Linked DNA regions of Pelodiscus sinensis. The protein of the gene in region 1 interacts with the protein of each later gene in a biochemical or structural test. Links are inferred from orthologs where the notes say so. Each region holds a gene or a part of one and is shown in the gene's direction. Other genes may lie near its edges.

Region 1 (11,103 bases):
GTGACTGCCCCCGCCCCCATAACAAGCACTATTAAAGCAATCGCGCAGGAGTGGGAGCAGCCGTTAGAATTAGATTGTTAAGGTGGCGAAGCCATTTCCCCTCTCACGTGCCTGTCACTTCCACCGTCTGGGACAAACTTTTCCAGCTTCAGCTGCTGCCAGCAAGCAATGTTTCCAGAAAAGGTTGAGCAGCGCCAGTCTGTATCACTAAGTATTGGCATTACGCCGGGCCTATACCGCACCTTGCACAATGGGCTCTGTTCGCTAGGTGCTACAGCTGCACAGACTCCGAGCGGGGCCCTGTGGTTGTAAAGGTGGCATGTTTGTGGCTCTGAGTCTGTGCAGCACTATGGGGGCTCTGAGCTCTGCTATGGAAAACAGATGACAGCAACTCTGATTTGACATCTGCTTGGCAGTGTTAGTAGTGATATTGCTTTTCCGGCTTTGTTCACCGTGTGCTTGTCAACTCCTCTTGCCACAGAGGAGAGGCGATGCCTGGCGATCTTTGGCGCTCAATCCTGACAATTCTTGTGAAGTCTGGAGCTTCCCTTCAAGCTCCCAGACCCTGACTTGTGGAACTACCTGGGGGGATTTTGGCTTTTGTTTCTGAAAAGATGTTTTCTGGCTCTCATGGAGGAAAACTGGAACTCATGAAGCACAGGCGTCCAGAAGGCGCAGAAACCAGAATGCCTTCTGGGAGCACGGAGCTGTCCCCCCTCCCGACGTGCTCATGTTAAAGCCTCTAGACCTGGTTTTCCAGATCACAAGTTGCTCCCTGCTGATACCGTTGTGGTCACCTAGTCCGGCTGATCTCAACCAGGGTACACGGGGCTCTTCCAGGGGCTGCATCAACCCATCTAGACACCACCCTAGTTTTACCCCAGGTGGCACAAAAAGCACGGGCAGAGTCAGTACAGGCTACAATTTCACGCAGACCGTGGCTTGTTTCTACTGCTCCTCAAGCCATGCACCGGAATGGAAGGGCCGTATTTCCATCCCCACTGATTTCTTTTGTAATTAGAGGATGAACGTGCGAAAGGAAACCATGATTCAGTAGCAGTGTGGCCAGGACACTTCTGTCTCTCTAAAGCTGATTCTGAGTGAGTCGGCGAGTCGGCGCTCAGTGAGGTGAAACTCAGGCTCTGAAAGATGGAAGCAGCTCCTGAAAGCTGCCGCTTGGAAAGGCTGAGAGCCCCGTCAGACCTGCATAGCACGGCCCATGGGGCTTCTCGGCGTGAACGCCTGTGTGACCTGGAGCAGACCAACTCCCCACCCGACACAAACGTTGCCAATAAGGGAGGTGCCCCCATGACTCTTGGCAGGTTGTTCCCACAGTGAGTTACCCCCTGACAAAAAGGTGCGCCTTGTTTCTCATCTGTCTCCAGCTTTACTTTCCAGCTGGCCTCTTGCTTGGCTGGGGCCCACACTCCTCCTTGGATCTTATCAGCCTGTCCCTTTGGTTTGTCTGGTTCGCCTTGCCCCAAGGCGGGACGTTTCCTGTCCACTCTCCCCGCCAAGCTCCCTGCCCGAGGCAGCAAGCCGAGTTCAGACGGTCACAGCCAGACAGTGCTCGTCGGCAAACCGGTCCTGCTGTCTCCTGCGCGTCTCGCTCACAGATGCAGAAAGGTCTCTGTGCTGACCCACAGCTCACGCGCACGGCCGGCATTGCGTACGGGCCAGAAACCTGACCCCTCCTACAGGCAGACGGGAGCGCCTCGAGGCACCCCATATGCACCATCAGCACCAAACCCGGAGCATGAAGAGGTCTGACTTTGTGCAAAGCACCCCGGTCAAGCAGAGATCCGGTCTTCCTTCCGTCGCCAGTGAGATTCAAAAGCAGCGTTGCGCGGTCTGCGGCCGTGTCGCTGGCATGGAGGGAAAATATCCCAGCGCCCCATGTGCTGCGATCTGCATTGACCCGTGAGGGGCTGCGTGCTCTGACCCTACTTTGGCATTGCCCCGGGGGCCCCCAGAGATTCCTGGCTTTGCCGGAGTGAGCCAGACCTGGCAACTTGGCTACATCGCGGCCATCGGCTGCACTCACTCTGCAGGGCACAGTGGTCTCTCCACAGTCAATGCACCGCTGCGGAGGATTTCATTCACCCCTAAACCAAAGCCAGGCAGCCAGGCTCTGCTTCGCCAGGCGTACAAAGCCCAATCCCAGGCCTGCACTGCACCAGGAAGATTTGCTATGTCAGGTGGGAGTGTAAAAAATTCACCCCCCCTCGCTGATATACCAGTGCAGCCAAACCCTCGGCATAGACACAACTATGCCAGCGGAAGAGCTCTGACGTCACCTTGCCTCACATTATCCTTGGGATACGTTAGCAGATGCTGCAGCTACACCAGAGGGCTAGGCCCGCAGAGGCTCTGGAGTGTAGACACGGCCCCCAGGAAAGTCAAGGGGATCTGGGCAATAAATACCCTTTTCTCCATAGTTCGCCTCTCGTGTAGTCATTCTGCTGTTATCCTCTTGTGGTATTCGGTGTTTTGCATTAAGCCCCTGCTCCTGGAGTCATGGGATTATGTGAGTATCTCGCCTCTCACTGAAAATGGGGAAGTACATTTCTAGCTCGTATGTCCGGAGACAAAGGCCAACATAGGCGATCTCTAAAACCTCTAAGCCTAGTAAGCAAATAAAAGAATCTCCAATTTCTTAATTTACTTATAAGTTTTCTGATTTGTGAGCCAATTGTGCTATGTTTGGGAGAGGCTTGACGTGCAATTTCTGAACGTTTGGAGTCAGAGACACTAGTGCAGGGTGGCTGCAGATCGACACCACTTGGAGTCAGTAGCATTTTGCACAGCACTCTGGGCAAGGGAGAATCTGCCTGGCTGTATTTCCCCACACTGAGGCTGTGCAAAGTTGCTTGTGCCCCCAAAAGTCTGTCTTGCACAATGATAACCAGTGTTCACCCCAGCTGACTGCACAGTTCTGCACATTTTGATTGCCTTTATGATTTATTTTCCTGATCGGCACCATTAAACCAATTTAGATACGTTTAGCAAAACATTTTTCCAAGGCAAATTAAGGCTGTTGAACTTACTGTTTATGGTTCATAGGTTCATAGGGGTGATTTTTTTCTTCTTGTGCTGATGTGTTAGACGCCTCCACTTTCTCTCCTGATGTAGGTTTGTTTTCCCAACAGGCAGTCAGGGCCATAAAACCAATTTCTCCTGGGGATCAGGGGCCGAAAGATGTGAGAGACATTCAGCCAGCCCAAATTTTTCAACCACATTTTTTTCAGTAAAAAATTCAGATTCGGCAGTACCAAAACATTTTGCAAATTTGTACCATTTTCGCATCATTGTTCGTTTTGAAAAAATCCCCAACCCTCACCCCCAAAATTCCAAAGGTTATTGTTTTCATATTTTGAAAACAAAAAGTTTTGATCTTTACAGTTGAAAAGACTTTTCATTTAGAAATTTCCTTTAATTTAAAAAAAATGTAAGAAAAATATAAATTAAAAAACTTTTTTCTGACTTTTTGATTGGCTGAAAATTTTTTAAAAAAAGGTTTTCAATTCAGTCTGAACTCCCTCCCCCCAAACTGAATTCCCGGCAAACTGAAAATCCATTATTTGGCCAGCTTAAATTCTGGCAACATTTAAATGGAGTTTCCTGCAAATCCCCTCCCAATTTTATACAAGGAGCTCCAACTCATAAATGCAAAGATTCCAAAGCCAGATGGGACCACTGTGATCATCCAGTCTGCCCTCTTTCACCAACCACACCACAGAACTTCTCCACACTAATTCTTTGAACAAATCATTCAGAACAATGTCAAACCTTGGTTGAAAACTTGCCAATCACAGGTGCTTTTGCAGAGACATGTCTGAAGAATGAAAACGAGGAAACACATTAAGGAATTTGAAATCTACAAATCCATAAATAACACTTTACAGATGTGTGTGATAGTCCCTGTTGTTTCCACATCTTGTGATATTACGTGTTTCCTGAAGTCCCGGCTCATGGAGTCTGGTGATTACACGAGACTTTCATTAGCAGGGGGGAAGTAAGTCTCTATCCCTCATGGTTACAGAGAAAATATCGAGTTCATATGCCATAAAGGCGCCAAATTCAGAAGGCCAATAAAAAGGACAGAAAATCTGCCTGCAGATGCATACTGGGTCCAAAGTCTCAGGTGTTGTAAACCAGGATGTTTTGGGGACTTAAACTGGTACTTAAGTATTGCATAAGCTTTGTGCTGGGTCGCTGCACTGGAGTGAGAGGAGGTCATTTTCCTAAGGCTCTGGAAGATGTCAGAAAAGTCCTCAGATAAGACGGAAGGACTGTCATCTCTCTGCCACATGGTAGCAGATCTTGGGCCCTTCATGACTGTTTCTCAGTGGAGGAGAAATCAGCGAAGCAGAGCCTGGGTATTTTCTCATGGTAGCTTGTTGATTCACACTATGTACCCCAGTCCTGGAACAGAGGGGGTCACAAACAGCAGGCAGATCTCTGTTGGAGATCTCAAACCAGCAATCAATACCTCCCTTCCAGGGAGCAACGGGTGCCCCTGTTTTTAAAAAGGAAAATGTCACCCCTATGTGGAGCTGGAGCAGGGACAGCACAGCGGTGACAGGACGGTGCATGCACAAGCCGACCGCAGCCTCCATTTCACTCGCCGCGGCAGTTTGAAAGCAGCCGGAAGCTCCAAGCCTCCTCAGGTCCGTCTACACTGCAACACTATTTCAGGATACCGGAGTATCCCAAAATTGCTATCCCGCGTCTTCACAGCAAGCCCGTTATTTCAGGCTCACTATTCCGACGTCCCTGCAAACCTCGTTCTACGAGGAGTAAGGGGTGCTTCGGAATAGCGCTGTATTTCGAAATTTGGTGCTGCGTAGACAGCGACAAATGATGAAATAAGCTACTTCAAAATAGCCTCGAGAGAAGATACACAATTTGCGTAACTCAAATCGCGTCGCTTATTTCGAGTTACGGTGCAGTGTAGACTCCCCCTCCTGCCCTGTGCAGGACTCCCTGCAGCCGCTGCTGGTATTTAAAAGGACTGGTGCAGCCCCGGACCCCCTTAAGTCCACTGGGCCCAGGGACAATTGGCCCCTTTTGTCCCCATCGACAGGCCAGACAGAGCTACTGCAAATCCAGATCCATCAAAACGAGCCATCCCTGCAGACAGCAAGCCGCAGAGGCAATTAAATGCTGGAACCACCTTACTGTATTTAAACAGATACAGGCAGGATTTGGAGACTGCTGCAACCCCCCAAGGCCCTGCCTTTGAAGGAAGCTTCATGAGAGCGCCCATTAGCACAGGAAGGCATGTTGGGGTTCTGCAGAGTCTCAGCAAGGAAATTCATGAAGTTGCTGGGCCAGTTTTTCTGCTGCCCTGCGTGGTGCCCAGGGCACTCGGAATGGCCGGATTGCACCTGGTGTAAAAGGGTGTGAGGTCTGGAGGTGGGAGGGGGCTGCAGAACAGCCATGCCTCTAGCAGGAGTCTAGCTGGTGGTTGCTGAGCTGCCCAGGGCAGGAATTTTGTGTATTGTTTCCTTTCATTCCCATTCTTGGGCACTGGTGCCAACAGACGCAGGGCTGAGCCAGCCGGGGCAGCCGCGGGGGAGCGGAAAAGCTCTGCCGCTCGGACACTGGACCGAGACAGAACCACCCTGATCTAGAGTGGAATCAAGTGCAAAACTCCTCAGTGCTGGGGCCCCAGCACGGACCTTGTGGCCAGGAGCTGGTGCCATTTCCACGGCGGCTGTTCGGAGTTCCCAAACCCCTGCGCGTCTCCACGGCTCACTCCGACAAGTGCGCTGTTGGGAGCTGCCTCTCCAGCATGCCCGTCCCCAGGGCACCTGCCACGCTGGGCCACCGAGACAAGCGGCTGCTGGCTGGGAATGCAGCAGAGAACGGCCAGGCTTTCCCGGCTGTGCAGGGCTGGCAGAGGCTGGGGTGGCAGGGAGTCTGAGGGGAGGGGGCAGGCTGGGGGGCTGAGGGGAGGGGGACAGGTTGGGGGTCTGAGGGAAGGGGCTGGGGGGAGGGGGCAGGCAGGGGGCTGAGGGGAGGGGGACAGGTTGGGGGCTGAGGGGAGGGGGACAGGTTGGGGGTCTGAGGGAAGGGGCTGGGGGGGAGGAGGGGCAAGCTGGGGGGGGCAGTCCGAAGAGGGACGAAGTGAGGCGGCAGAGGACAAGCGGGGCAGGGGGCGGGGCTTTTCCCGGCTCCGGGTGAGGGCGGGGCAGGGGGCGGGGCTTTTCCCGGCTCCGGGTGGGGGCGGGGCGAGGGGCGGGGCTGTTCCCGGCTCCGGGTGGGGGCGGGGCGAGGGGCGGGGCTGTTCCCGGCTCCGGGTGGGGGCGGGGCGCCGGTCGCTTCCCGTCAAAAGGCGGGCGCGGGGCCGGGGGGGGGCCGGCGGGAGCAGGGGGCGCTCGTAGCACGTGCAGGTACCGGGCTGGTCTCCGGGGGCGCTCAGCTTCCCCCCCCCCGGGGCGCTGCCGGGCTCTGAGGGGCGCCCCCCCCCGGAGGGGAACGGGGGGGGGCGCTGCCGGGCTCTGAGGGGCGCCCCCCCCCGGAGGGGAACGGGGGGGGGCGCTGCCGGGCTCTGAGGGGCGCCCCCCCGGAGGGGAATGGGGGGGGCGCTGCCGGGCTCTGAGGGGCGCCCCCCCGGAGGGGAATGGGGGGGGCGCTGCCGGGCTCTGAGGGGCGCCCCCCCGGAGGGGAATGGGGGGGGGCGCTGCCGGGCTCTGAGGGGCGCCCCCCCCGGAGGGGAATGGGGGGGGCGCTGCCGGGCTCTGAGGGGCGCCCCCCCCGGAGGGGAATGGGGGGGGCGCTGCCGGGCTCTGAGGGGCGCCCCCCCGGAGGGGAATGGGGGGGGGCGCTGCCGGGCTCTGAGGGGCGCCCCCCCGGAGGGGAATGGGGGGGGGCGCTGCCGGGCTCTGAGGGGCGCCCCCCCGGAGGGGAATGGGGGGGGCGCTGCCGGGCTCTGAGGGGCGCCCCCCCCGGAGGGGAATGGGGGGGGCGCTGCCGGGCTCTGAGGGGCGCCCCCCCCGGAGGGGAATGGGGGGGGCGCTGCCGGGCTCTGAGGGGCGCCCCCCCCGGAGGGGAAGGGGGGGCGCTGCCGGGCTCTGAGGGGCCCCCCCGGAGGGGAAGGGGGGGGGCGCTGCCGGGCTCTGAGGGGCCCCCCCGGAGGGGAAGGGGGGGGGCGCTGCCGGGCTCTGAGGGGCCCCCCCGGAGGGGAAGGGGGGTGCTCCCTTTCTCGGGGCAGAGTGAGGGGTTGTCGGGGGGGGCCCCTGGCGTTAGCCCTGCCCAGCGCGGGTGCGGGCTGGGGCGAGGACTGGGGGGTTGATTCCCCCCTTCCCCATGTCCAACCCCCCCCAGTTCCCGTCCAGCCCCGGGCCGGAGCGCTCCTGTGCTGTCCAGGGACTGGCTGTAGCGACTGGCGCCCTTATTCCTCTTTCTGTCGGGGCTTGTCGTGCGCTCCTGTTGCTTTGTCCATGTCTCTCTGGGGCCCGGGGCCCGGATTAAATGCCGGATTCCTCCTGTGGTTGTATAGAAGGACTCGCTTCCTGGTGCCTTAAACTTTTACCTTGCAGCCACATAGCAATGCAAACTGCCTTGCTGTCAACCCCTGGGCTTTGTGCTTCTGTGAAGAGCCGATTTCGAGCCTCTCCACCCCGATACATTAGCTGTGTTGGGGGGTTTTAAGTCGAATCTCTATACAATTTCTGCCCATCTCTCTGCTGTCTCTGTTTTTTCATTCCCAGTGGCGGGATCTGCAGCCCATTCCCACTTAATCTAAGAATGTCAGATCAGTTTAATGAGATGTTTTGGGGATTGCAAGTTGTACAAGTGTTGTGAAAAACCAGACCCCTCGGCTACCTGGCAGCAAGATAGATACCTGCTGTGTTTGGTGTTTGATTATTATGTGGCTGTCCATAATATTTTGGTCACTAAGTCATCTGGATACTGAATGACCAAAATATTATGGATAACGAATGAGCATGTTAAAACAAGTCTTAAGGCTGCTTTCTCAGTACCTCTCTGTGTGTGACTTTGCTACTTGTCATAGCTATTTTGTTTATAGTTTTCCAGTCGGCTCACAATCCACAAGTTATTTCGTCTGAGCCAATTGAATGAATGTGCCGGTTAAGACTTCGTGAGGCACAGTATAGAATGCCTCCAGTTCCAATAGACTCTACACTTGTAGTGACTTGTTTCACTATATTCCTAATGATAAAAAATTTGCCTTACTGCAATATAATTGCCAAGGTTTTTTTCCCTCTTTTGTGAGGGATAAGCTCCCTTGTGCATAACCTTCTCCTCAACTGTGCCCCCCGGGTTGGGTCTAGGACATGGGTGAAAGGTTAAGGCATCTCTGGACCCCACTTTGACAGGATAGAGTAACTGGAGGGATCATTTTCTTTTTTGGGAAGGGGGAATGAGCATGCTGGGTTAGGAGGAGAAGCTTCTGCTTGGGGCAAAGATGCGAGGTATAAAAGGAAGACTGGTGTCTTCTGCAGTGTGGCTTTCTAGCCTTTGGAGGGCTGATGTAGTAACAGCATAATGCTGGCGTCTGGCACTTCCGAAAGTCAAGTAAGGTTCCATAGAAGCCAGTTTCCATGAAAACCCCTCTAAAGCTTGTTTCCTTTCATGACTTGCTCTCCTCCCACATTAGATGAGACCAGTGACTCATGTTCCTTTCTGGGCTCAGTATAAGAGGCTGTAGCATGTTCCAGAGCATATGTCTTTCCTTCTGAAGGGAACTTGGTTCTGCGTTCAGCTTTAGTATGGAGTCTGCAAACACAGGCACTCCTCTCTTGCATCTGCAGTACAGTAGGTCAGAGCTGGGTCAGTAGGCTGTCTGGCAAGAGCACTTAGTATCTGGCAGGATGGGACAAAGGCTTTAATAACTGCTTTTAAACCAGTCCAGTCACTAAAGAACCTTTAACCCATCAGACATAGAGTAATTATGTAAAGCTTAGTCATTTTACTCCCCTCCCCCCCCCCCTTTTAAAGCCTCTTTCCTCCACAATACTGGGCGTTTATAAACTAGCTTTGAGTTGAAGTTTTTGCTGTGAGTTTAAAGTGCTCATGCTATGAGGCAGACTTTCTCATTCAGATAGGACGGTTTTTCTGAAATATGTACGCAAACTTGAAATGCACCAAAGTTCAGGCTAATCTTGTTATGAGAGAGTTAAGAGTTCTGATTGCTCAGAGCTGAATGACTTTAACCAAATGCACTAGAGACTTGAGCAGTGTGTTTTAATCATGACTAGAGAGCATACAATTTTGGCTGGCTAGGGCACTACACCCAAATCTTGTGTACAGGGAGCTACAGTAGACTGTACAATCTGTGCTTTCATCATTTTCAATTTAAGTTGCCTCATCACCATATGGAATCTGCAACTATTTCACCAGTAAAAGCCAATGAAAACTCTCACCCTGGTGCTCTGCAGAAGCTACTTCCCCTGTTAATTTCCAGAACAAATTCTGTCTTGTTCCTGATCTCTGAAAGCTTTCCCATGTTGGGACTTGGCAGTTTTGAGACTCCAATTTGTTGCCCACCACTTGCCCAAATGATTGTGCTCCACTGAGATTTATGCAATTGGTGAACCCCAAGAAAAGACTACTTGGGGCACTTGGAGGTCTGACTAAAATCCAGTCTTGAATGTAATCCCATCAACAGAAGTCCAGATTGTTTTGTGTTTTTGAAGAGTCAAAAATGTTAAAATCCTCGAATCCTGAGGAAAAGTGCTTGCTGTACTATTTGCTTTTATTAAAAAAAATTGTGTGCCTAGATACTAAGGTGCTTAGGGCAGATGGCTATATAACATAACCCTATGCAAAGTGCAAATATAGCTTTGCTACTTGTGGAAAGGTGGCTATTTCTGTCCCTGGCTGAAATGCTGACTCTGTGTTTAAAAGCATTTTATACCTCCTGTAACTTTGCCAAAACTAAAACAAGTCAGCTGAAACTTCCCGTGACCTTCTCTAGAGAAGTACTGGAATCTTGGGCAGCTGGACAAAGAATGAATGATCAGGTAAAACAACAAAAAAAAATTTGCAAAAGTTCTCACTCTGCTGGAAAATCCTGATCTTAAGAAAAAGATGGAGAATCATGGGATTTAACAGAGCCCCTGGACAAACAAATTTCCCTTATAGTTGATCAAGACTTAGGATCTGGGACCTTCTACCGGCTGTACCTGTGAAGAGCACAATAACACTGCAAAGCGGTGGAGTCTGCTGTACTCCAGGTTAATTAAAGGTGTGGGGATGTATTTGGCTTGCCCTGTGAGCTAGACCTACTGAGTGGCATATACTTACTGGCGGTGATCCAAGGGAGATTTCAGATCTGTTTTAAAATGAGCCTTCTTCCAACTCTTGGAGGAAGAATGACTCCAACATTACTTGGAGGGAATATTTCCTCCATGTCCTCTGGTATAGAAATCAGTTTTGCCTTTGGACTTCTAGAGACTCCCTTACCTTCCTGGGTATATTGCAGAGTAGGTGCAACACAGGACCTGTAAGACAGTTCATTCAGGGTGTCCTGGTTTTTAAGCTGTTTGCTTCCACTAGGACTTGATGGTTTAAAGTTATGCCCTTCTAGCTAGTACATAATTCATAAGATTGATGACTAAATCTTGTATAACCAGCAAGATCTGTACAATCCATTCAACTGTACTGACTTCAGGAAACTTCCCAAATCCTTGTTTTCTTTATGATGGTGTTCCAGCAATGGCCATTTCTCACTCTGCTGCTTTGGCAGAGCTCTGAGTGTCGGTAGAGGCACAAGAGTGTCTATCGCCAGTGGAAGATCAAACACTATTGGCTACGTTCAGTTTTGCAGTACAAGTGCTAGAGACTCTTTTGTGTGTTGGTTTTTGAAAAGCTTAAATTCGACAGGAGTTGACGGAACTTGCCTAAAACAGTTCTGCCCACCACAGGCAAGTGTGAATGTCTTCCATACCATGCTATGGCTTGAACTGGTTTGAGCTGCTTAAGAATCTTACTCGAATACTGGCTTGGGGGAAGCATTTGAACTCCTCCCCAAATGCTTTAATTTGTAACTTCAAGTCCTTGTCAGGTTTTGCTCTCTCTAAAAGACCCACCGGGCAGCTGACAGAAGAAACCTATTTCATTGATGTCAAA
Region 2 (10,738 bases), on another chromosome or scaffold:
CCTCTGTGCCGCTTCCTCCCTCCAGCGCGGCCCTGAGGAGCCCTGCGTGGCTCAGCCACCGCGGCGTCCCGACTCGCACCGACTGCATGTCCCAGCCCGCCGGGCGCAGAGCCAGCCTTCTCCTTAAAGCCGGGCGCCGCGCTGCCTCTGGCCTGCTCTCTCCAGCCGGGATGGCGGGGGGCTCGGTTGCTTGCGAGCGCCAAAGAGGGTGACCCCGCCAGCTGGCCGGAGGGAAGTCACAGCCCAGCCGCTGTTATGTGGGGCAGGGCCGGGGCGCGCGGCGGGGGGCCTGTGCAGCCAGTGGGCGTTGGAGCGGATTAGAGGCAGGTGCCTGGATTAGCCGTGTAAAATGTCCTGGGGACGATTACGGGCGGAAGGCCAGGGCGCGGGGGGGCCGGAGGTTGCCTGTAAGCTTGTTCAATCTGCTTAGGCAGCGCAGTGGCTGCGAGGCTACGGCTCAGGGAGGAGGAAGTGGAAACAGGCCTTCGCGTTCCAGGGCTGGTTCGTCAGCCCGGCGGGTTTGCAAGCCTCTGGTTCCTAAAGGGTTAAAGGGTGACCCTGGGTCCGCTGTGTCTCTCCCAGCTGGGCGACTCCATTCCCTTGGCTCGTGAAACCCGGGTGCTGCGGCGGGTTAGGGTTCGGCTTCCAGCTCCCCGTATTGATTCTATTAGGGCACCAGACCCGCCCTGCCTGGGGGCCTGATTCTGAGAACATCCTGCTCACATCACTGCAGGAGAAACCGCAGGGTAACCACGGACTCACAGCCGCTGGCGGGTTTGGGCCGCAGGGCCCCTAGGGGCGTTTCTCCGGATGTTTCAGCTTCAGGAGCCTCAGGAAGAAAAGTGGGAGCATGAGCCCCATTTTACAGATGGGGAAACTGAGGCAGGGAGCCGTCAGGAGGCACAGCTGGGAAGGGAACCCAGGAGTCCTGGCTCCCGTCCCCCCCTTTACTGTAACTACTAGGACCTCCTCCCCGCACCCAGGAACAGAAGCCGCAGTCCAACGCCGACTCCCTGCTGCTGGGATTGCTAGAGACCCTCTCGCGCCCCTCGGCAGGAGAAGCCCCTGAGCAGGACACAGACCCCAGTGAGGTTCCTTCTCCAGGAAGGGCTGGTCAAAGCCTGCCCATTGCCCCCCACAGCCCCGCTGGGGGGGCTACCTAGGGGGGGACTCACCCGCCAGTGCTGCGGAGGACAGAGCCCGGGGGACCCTCCCCCCACCCTTGCCCCATGCCAGACACTGAGACCAGCAGCATCAGCTCGTTGGCCGGGGCCCGTTCGCAGTCAGCAAAGCCTTAATCTCCCCCTTGGCGCGCGGCCAGTGGAGCAATTGTCAGGCTGACCTGAGCTCGCCCAACCCCGGAGCCGTTTCTTTCCAGCCACCCAACCTGCTGCCAGGTTCCCATCTGCCCCGGGCGGCCTCAGTGGGACCGGCAGGGCCTATGTGCGGGGACAGGGGCTGCCCCCTCCTTCCAGCGATGCCAGGAGACTTTCGGCCGGGGCCGGCTAGCCCCCAGCGTGGGGGGTAGGTGATGTGCCAAGTGCGTCTCCACATGCTGCCTGCTCCCCTCGGGGTCCTAACCCTCAGCCCTCTCCCTGGCCAGCGTGGGGTGTCCCTCGGCCGTGACCCCGGCTCTGTCTGAGCCGACGCTGCCGCTTACCCCCAGCTACCCAGTGGCCGCCCCCAACCCGCCACCCCCCAAACTCATTTCGCTCCTTCCTCACAGATTCCAGGGCCAGGCCTCCTCTGGCCTGGCTTCCTGCAGCCGTTCGTCGGATCTGAGCTCAGGGACAGGATACCTCCCTCTGCTGCACCCCTTTGCTCCCTCGCCATGCGTCAGCCCCTCCGCAAGACCCGTGTCGGGGCGTTCCCGCAGGCCACTACTCTTTGAGCCTAGGGCTGCTCACGGCTCGCTAATCAGCTTCCCGGGCGCTCGGTCCCAGAGTGAACGTACTAGGACGGGGGCTTCCAACGTCTTACATGCAGCCCCCTGCAGAGCGGTGGCCCCTGGGGACCCCTTAGACGCTGTGATCCCTTCAGGGGTCCGCGGGCCTCCGGTCAAAACCCACGCACAGGTGCTGGGCCTGCCTCGGCAGCTTCGTGCTACGCCCTGTCTCTCGCCAGCCAGGCTGCTGCGCCAGCTTCCGCCCGCAGCTCCGGCAGCCAGTCGGCATGGACGAGGGGTAGAGAAGCCAAGCCCGGCCCCCAGGAGTCCTAGCGGGGACCCCTGCAGGGGTGGGGTTCCCTGCCCGCACACTGCCTGGCCTTGGCACGGAAAGGCCGGATTTCTCAATTGCTCCCTCCTCCCCTGTGACCTTTCCAGGCGAGGGAGTTGGCTGGCTTCCCTGTCCTGTTAACGCTTCATGGACGGAAATGCAGGGCTGGTCAGGGCTCGGGGCGAGGTGGGGGAGGGACACTACAGGCAGGAGCCTCCCTGCCCTGCATTCGTGTCAGGTGGAAAGGGATCACTCATAAAGCCAGTGTCAGACTGGCCTCAGGCATGAAAAGAGACAGGCCAGCTGCTCCAGTGCCCTGGTTACTGTGGTATGGTTATGATGGAGCTCCCACTGCGCTAGATGCTGGAGTGAGGGACCGTCCCTGCCTCAAAGGGCCCATGGATAGATTAGGGAGAGAGAGGAGATGTTATTCTCCCAATTTACAGGTGGGAAACTGAGGCCTAGACAGGTGATGTGACTTGCCCAAGGACACCCGCAGACTCTGTGGCAGAGACAGGGAATAGACTCCAGGTCTCCCCATTCATTGTCCAGTGCTGCCTCTGAAAGATGGCGCCTCTTTCCTTGCTTCTTGGATGGAAGCCCCTGTATCCACAACCAGAGTTTTGGAAACCTTCTCCAGGCATGTCCCCCTGCACCGAGGGTCGTGGGGACTGTCTAAAGCAGCCTCATTCCTGCCTCTCGCTTAGCTTGGTTCGAAGAGTCCCACAACCCGGCTCAGGCTGCTGCTTAAGAGGATGGAGATGGGGCAGCTCCTGGTGGACAAGGAGGATGTGGCTAAGCAGGAGCAGGTGTCGGGAGTGAGGGTGGTGGGGGGAAGGGGGAGCGTTCACAGGCTGATGCCGGCTGCATCATGCTCCCCCAGTAGGCCCTGTTCTTCTGAGAGGGAGGGCTGTGCCGTTCCCTGGGGAGCAGGAACACCGTGCGAGCCCTGCCCTGGCTGGTTACTGACCGTCCTTGGCTCTGATGTACTCTGGCAGGCGGGGGGGCGAGGCTGGGCCCGGCGACGGGAGCCAGAGGAACGGGACGCTCTGTCCTCTTGGCACTGCCGAAGGTAAGGAGGGTTCGCTGGGTCTGGACTGGGTGGGTGCGGTTTTGTGGCCTGCCAGGGGCCGGAGGTCAGACAGGTGTCCAACCGCTCTCGTGGCTACTGCCATCGGGAACTAGCCACGTCATTCCGAAACGGTGAATAATCGTGTGAGCCAACCAGCCGCGCTCAGCTGGCCAAAGAGCCACCCGTGGCCAGCGTGCCGGACTCCACGGGACGCTCCCGTCTGACCGTACGCCCTGCGGGGCTGGGGTTGCCGCGTGGGGAGGGGCCGTGCTGCGTGGGTCCCCCTCACCTGCCTCGCTGGGCCCTGGGAGGTGGGCTGCTCGAAGGTGGGCTGTGCCAAGACCAAGCTAGCCTGGGGGTGGCAATAATTTCTGATGGGGGACACTCCATGGATTTGGTAAGAGGTCATAGTGGCACTCTTCCATGATATTAATGGAGAGGGGGCAGGCTGTAGGCTGGGTGCAGAAGGGAGCTCGGGGGAAGGATTGGGGTGCTGGAGGGGGTGTGGGATCTGGAAGGGAATTTGGGTGAAGGAGGGGGTTGAGACCTGGGGTAGGGAGCTGGGGTGCAGGGTGCAGGAGGGGGTATGGGTGCAGGAGAAGGGGTGCAGAGAGTTTGGGTTACATGGGGTAGGGATGCAGGAGAGGGGCAGATGGTTGGGGGGAGAGAGGGGCTGGGGTGTCAGAGGCAGGCTTTGGCTGGGATTCCTCAGCCGGGGTCCCTGCCTTCCACACCCCTGCACCGGCTGCATGCATGGCTGAGGCCGAAGCCTGTGAGCCCATAGAGGGGTGGGGTACTTCCTGTGCTGCCTGTCCTGCGAACAAGCAGCTCCCATTGGCCGAAAACTGGCCAACGGGAGCTGTAAGATTTTGCTGGGGGTGGGGACAGTGTGCAATGTCTTCCCCCGGGACTCGCAGGATTCAGAGAGCTGCTCTGAGCACAAGCGAGAGCGGGGCAGGCAGGCAGCCTGGCGGAGGCTCCTGCGGGCCGGGTCTGGCCCACGGGCCGTATTTTGCCCACCCCTAGTTCTCACCCAGCTGGGGGCAAGGCCACGGGTTATAATGACCAGCAGGCGATGCCACGGCCACGCAGACACCTCTCTGGCGACAGGGCCTGGCCAGCCACCGGCAGACAAAAATTCTGCTTCCCGAGCGGGTCTCTGAACAGGCCGTCCAGTCTCTTGACAGCTGAGCCGGCCTTTGGTCCCACTGGGCTGCCGTGACCCCGCATCCTGGGGGTAAACATGCAGCTGCAGCTGGCCGGGCGGCCGCATTCCAGGCCGGCCGGATCGCAGTGCACCGGGCTGGTACTCGCCCCTGCGCTGATACGCTGGCACCAGAGGTCAGTGATGGGGAGGGAGATCGGGGGGTTGTTTATTCATTAACAGGCTAGATCTCTGCTGGACTCTTAGCTCGCGGAGGAGCTGGCGGCCATGGGCCCACGGAAGTTACCAGCCAGGACTGCCGGGTGCCGCCCCCAGCCAGCAAGCCACAGTGCGCTTGGCACATCCCTCCCTTAACGCTGTCGCTGCTGGGCCTGCCGCCCGGCTGAGCAACCAGCGAGCTGCGGGAGAGCCGAGAGCCTGCCTTGTGCGGCTTTACTCTGCTCCCAGGGAGAGCGGGGCCTTGCTCCCGACTGCCCCTGCGCCCTGCCGGGGTACTCCTGGGGGCTCTGACGGCAGATCCAGGCACCGGCTGGCAGCATGGAGGGGTTGACTTGACAGCCCTGCCGGGCTGGGGAGAGTTTCGGCAGCCGCAAGGCTTGGACTGCCGGGGAGACGGGTCAGCCTATGGCAGGGCTGTTGCAACCGGCTCACCCCTCGGAGGGCTCAGCCAAGGGGGAAGCGAAGCCATCAGCCTGGGTCAGCGCAGAGCCTCCGTGAGACCTTCCCTCCCCCCTTATCCTGCCTGGTCCCTGCGCCCTCTGCCTATTTTAACCCTTCGGATGCTGCACGCCAGCCCCTTTCCCCTCCCCTGGCGGCTGCCTCCCTGCGGAGCCCGTCAGCGACCCAGGTGCGAGGGAAGGGCCTTTGCCTGCACGCTCCGTGGGATCATTTCGGGGGGACAGGGGTGACTCAGGGCTATTAAAAGGCGACTTGTGCCTGACCTGCCCCAGTTTGGATAGGACAAAGTCCTCCCCCCCCCCCCCCAGCCTGACCCAGGAGGTGCGGCCGACCCACGGGAGGGGAGGGGGAGCAGTGTGCAGATAGGACAGGGTGACTTGAAGGGGGTGTAACATTACGGCCTGCCCCTTTAAGGGCTCCGGGGCCAGCCTGCCCTCTTCAGCTACCAGACCCCGGCGGGAAAGGGCCAGGTACCTGCAAGCCACCGGCCAGGTGTGCCCGGGGAGGGCCACGGCTTTGGAGCTCCCAGGGGCTGGGCGCGGGCGACTGTCCTCGCGGCAGAGGAGGCCGCGCGAGGGGCTGAACCCGTTGGGGGGGGGGGCCCTGCTCTGCGGGGTGTTTGCCCAAGTTTTGTGTTGGAGTGAAGAGGAGCCAGCGTGTGAACTGGGGGCTGCCGCGTCCGCCTGGGGACCCCTCAAAGGGGCAGCTCCCACCCAACCAGTTTCCTTCCTGCCTCTGGCCCGAGGCGTTTTCTGCCCCCAATGGCGCCGCGCTTGCAGGGGGGCGTCTGGGGAAAGGGCAGGCCTGGGCCGGGCGAGGAGCCGGGCAGTGCCAGGCGGAGGCCATGGCGGTGTACACCTCTTCAGCATCCCATCTCCCCTGGCCCCTGCTCCCCCTTCCCCCACGGCGCCTTCCTCCGCTCTGCCCCCAGAAGGAAGTGACCCCCCCCATCCATCTCCTCCCCCCTCTGTCTGGACGCCCAGAGCAGGAGCTGAGGGAGAGCGGCTCAGAATCTGGATCGTGTCCCTAGAGAGGCTGGTTCCAACGGTGACGGCATGGCTCCCCCCCCTCCATGCACCGTGCAGGCTGGTCCTCAGTAGCCCCCCCCATCCAGATCTTTGCACCCCCGTGGGGGCGTTTGCAGGCAGGGCTAAGTCTCCTGCGATGCCCAAAAGGGTGGAGGAAGAGACAGAAGCAGACAGGAATTCGAGCCAAATGCCTCTCTCACCAGATGGACAGGGTCCTAGCCCATATACAGCCCCGAGGGAGCCCCCAGCCCCACCTGAGACTGGCCCAGACCCGACGAGCCCCCGCCCGGGGAGCCTGCTGTCCCCATCTGACATTGGCACCGGAGCCTGGCTTGGATTCCCTCACTCAGAGCGCGTCCAACCAGGCCTCGCTGGCTCTCGCTGTCCCTCCCTCACCTCGCCTGCCTCTCCCCCCTCCTTTCTCTCCCTTTCTCCACAGTCCCCCCCCTTCCCCCTCTTGCCTGAGTCAGCTGCTGCCATTCAGAGGCCATGTGAGCCTGCACACACATGGCTCGCAGCACAGCACAGAGCTGTATTTTTAGCAGACGGTATCAAAAGCATAATTATGTCTGTTGTTTAAATGCAGCCTCTTTGTTGGCAGCGTGCAGAGCCTTCGGCTGGCTCCCAGGCTGTGCTACCGAGGAGGAGGGCTACGGGAAACCCAAGCCACGGCTGCTCTGAGGCTGCCCCCACCCAGGGGGGGCCAGGTGGCCCCGCTTAGACGTCCCCTCTCCAGGATCTGGGGCTACGGATCTGGGGCTGCCTTCTGTTCAGGTAAGTGTGAGAACTTAACTCCTTCTGCAGGACCAGCTGGTGGGGCAGGGGGCGGGGAGGAAGGATGAGCGAGTGACAACTCCCAAAAAGTTTCTTCCGGCAGCTAAGAAGTCCAAGCGCCCAGGCCAGGCGTGTGCCAGCTGTAGGTTCCTCAGAAGGACGTGGGCAGGGGACGAGGGGCGATGGAGAGACAGAGAGGAGGCTGTGGGGGTTTGTCCAAGAGGCGATGTGAGAGGCAGGCTGGTTTGGAGGGGGGTTTCTCGGCAGGGGGCAAGGTTGAAAGGTGGCGTGAGGGGGATGTGAGCGGAGGGTTGGTGGGTAAAGGCGTCTGTCTTCTGCCCTGGGAAGGGGAACCTACATTCCTCTTCCAGCCCCTTTTCTCCTGTCTGGGGATCCCTGTCCCCAAACACCACAAAAATACGCTCGCAGGAGGGCACCGGCCTGGGCAGCATGAGGGCTGTACCTATTGTCCTAAAAGCAAGAGCCTTCAGGGACCGGAATGAGGTTCCGCTTAGGTTCATGAGCCGCCTGGCTGGGAGATCCAGGAGACGGACGGGTTAGCTAGCTCTGTGGAGTCTGAAGAGTATGCATTCCTGCTGGGTCCCAGGCAGACTGGGACTGGGGAAACTGAAGGCTTTATTTTTTTTTTTTTTAAAGTCTGTGTTTATAAAGCGCAGCTGGTGTAGCCGTGCAGCGGGACCGGTCTCTGGTGGTAGCGTTAATTCACAATGATATTGAATACTCTGAATTGCTACAGTCCACCCTTGCATCTCTCTAAGCCATGGGTTCCCAAACTGGGGGGCGTGCCCGCTTGGGGGGCGTGATGAAATTCGGGGGAGGGGCAAGGCTTTGCTGCTATTTTTTGGGGAAGAGGGCGTGAGGGTTTCTCAAAAATCAAAAAGTTTGGGAACCATGGCTCTAAGCGCTTTATAAAGTGTAACCCGCCAGCCTCCCCGTGCAGTCGGTCAGCCTGACTATCCTCATGTGACAAGCAGGAGAAACTGAGGCACCGCCCAGGGAAGTAACATGCCCCCGGGCCTGAGCAGTAGAGCTGGAAAGAGAACCCAAGGCATGTGATCTAGCCCCTAGGCACCACTCCCTTAGCAGGGCTGGGAATAGGAAGCAGGCATAGGGAAGCCACTACTCCTGCTCTTACCACTAGAGTCACGCTTCACAATCTTTGCCCTGCTGGGGCCCTCTGGGGTGTCACTCCCATTTGGAAAGGCTGCAGTAATCATGGTCATAACCCCGTGGCACCGATTTCCAATTCTCCCCCACACCCTGTAGGGTAAACTGAGGCAGCCCTAAATGTGCCTCAGTTTACCCTACACACCCTGAGAGCCAGGCCCGTCCTGGCTGGAGATCTGGGCTTTGAAACACGCACTTCTAGAGTTGGGACAAGGACCCAGCACTCCGGATGCCCCATCCCTTGCTCTAACCACTACTCATCAGCACCCCTGGGGCCCAGTTGCCCATGTGGCCTTCTTCCTAATGCTCTCTAGGGGACGGTCTCTGGACTGGACGGCGTCCCAGGGACAGGCGATCAGGGGTGACTGTCAGAGGGGAGGGGAGGCCTGTGGCTCCCCAGCACCACCCCTCTCCCTCAACATGCTCCTATGGCAGAAAGGCTCGGCGTGAGCTCAGGAAGCTGCCTCAGTGGCTGTTCCCTGTTGGACGTGAGTTTCAGCGCTGCTTGTCATTCCGACCGGGGCTCGGCATAAGGCCCGGCGGGGGCCGTTTCTGTTTCTGACAGGCTTTTGCTATCCCCGAAGAGGGGCTGTGGAGGGGCAGAAAGGTCTGATCTGGATGGGGGGAAACGCTGAAACGCTGCAAGAAATCCAGAGCGGATAGCAGTCGATGGCTGGAGGAAAAGTCGCCCAGGGAACACTAGCCATGAACCGTGTCCGAGAGTCCACCCTGAGACCCCATACTCTGGGAGGAGCTTAGAATCATAGACTCAGAGAACACTAGAACGGGAAGGGACCTCGAGAGGTCATCAAGTCCAGTCCCCGGCCCTCACGGCAGGACCAAGCACCAGCTAGATCAGGGCTACTCAACTTTGGAAGCCCCGGGGGCCACAGTGATACTGACAGCGCATGACGAGGGCTGCAACTTAAGTCTGGTTGCACAGACATGCAAATATAGATGCAAATCTATGCAAATCGCTTCTTTCGCACTGACGGGCATGAAAACAAAGACGTAGTCAAGACAGCACCACACGCAGGCCCCGTTTAAGTCAGTTCTGCTGATATTATTAAAATGCAACATGGACCTGATTTCCACCCGTAGGACAGCACTTTTAATGAGCAATGACAGTCCAGGAATGGAACTACTAAAACACATCGCCACAGAAAACCGTTCTATTGATGCTTTTTTGTCTTGGCTCCCACCCGCGGGCCATGTGGTGAGCCCCTGTGTAAACCCAAACTGCACTGCGGGCTGCAAACAAACGGGCCGTGGGCCGCGTGTTGAGTAGCCCTGATCCAGATCATCCCTGGCAGGTGTCTGTCCAACCCGCTCTGAAATATCTCCGGTGATGGAGATTCCACAACCCCCCAGCAATTTATTCCAGTGTTTGACCACCCTGACCGGCAGGAAGTTTTTCCTAATGTCCAACCTAAACCTCCCCCGCTGCAATTTAAACCCCTTGCTTCTTGTCCTGTCCTCAGAGGCCAAGGAGAACAATTCGCCCCCCCCCCCTTCATAACACCCTTTTAGGTTCCAGAAAACTGCTACCATGTCCCGTCTCGGTCTCCTCTTTTCCAAGCTCAGCATCTCCCATGCACGGATGGAGCTGAGCTGTGGAATTCAGTCCCACTCTGATGGGGAAGATAAATGCTCAGGGCCGTGGCCACCCAGGGGCTTGGCTTACTGGTGTTTAACCTTGTCTGCATGTGAGAGCTCGGTACAGCAGAGAGCCGGGCACCTGGATAGGAAACGAGGGCTTCCCTGCTGGTAGCGCAGGCAGATAATGAATCCCTGGTGAGAAATGATGCCTGTGTCCATCTGTCTAATCACCGTACACGCTACCTTTCGCTGTAGGTTCTCGTCCTTCTGTCCGTCTGCCGGGGGTCTGACCCCAGGTGCTCCTGCTTTCTCTCTGAGGTTCCACGCCGCCCGAGGGAGAGCTGTGAGCACCTCTGTCCCTTTAGCTCCCCTGGCTCAGCCCCACAAGGCTTGGAGTCCTGACCCTTTCCCCACAGGATCTCTCTGAATTTCTCTCCCTCTCTGGCTGGAAGCCGGCCACATGCCCCACACGAGGCGTCACGCCAGAGACAGCAATGGCATGTTGGCATGAAACTGACGTTGCCGTTCGCCTGCTTTGGAACCCGGATATAAACCAGCTGCTAATTGGTTTCAGCTGATGCCAAGAGGGGCAGAGGGGGGGTGACATAGTTAGGATCTGAACGCACGCAACAGGCAGGCAATTAGCGTGGATCAGAGCTTGCCTGTGCTAGGAGCTGTTCTGATCTCCCTCCCGGCCAGCCCTCTGCTACATACAGGTGCTAATTGGCCCCAGTGTTGACTCTCTGAGCAAGGAGGACAAGGAATAAATACACCATGGAGCAAATTCTCTGCCCTGCACCCCAATGGGAGTCCTATAGGGCCGCACGCAGCATTTGGGGGAAGAGGCATTTCTTGATGCTGCTTCACTAAAGGCTCCCCAGGGCTGTCTCCTCCCAGTGGGACGTGGATTGAGACCCAGCAACTCGGTACACAGAGGGGTGGCTAAAAAAAACAAATGACATTTTACCTTGTGCTGGATTGGAAGCTATCACCTGGTGCTCCAAGCAGGGCAGCAATG

The links.
Region 2: the proteins of VDR (region 1) and HR form a complex in vitro, tested with the Homo sapiens proteins (2 studies listed by BioGRID and IntAct). The link is inferred for Pelodiscus sinensis from reciprocal best matches to the Homo sapiens genes VDR and HR.

The regions. Positions count from the first base shown.
Region 1 is NC_134729.1:77,076-88,178, forward strand, and holds the start of VDR (vitamin D3 receptor), read left to right. Parts: upstream 1-6,294; 5' UTR 6,295-6,398; intron 6,399-11,103.
Region 2 is NC_134738.1:11,646,713-11,657,450, forward strand, and holds the start of HR (lysine-specific demethylase hairless), read left to right. Parts: upstream 1-6,611; 5' UTR 6,612-6,933; intron 6,934-10,738. UniProt on the Homo sapiens protein: Histone demethylase that specifically demethylates both mono- and dimethylated 'Lys-9' of histone H3. May act as a transcription regulator controlling hair biology (via targeting of collagens), neural activity, and cell cycle.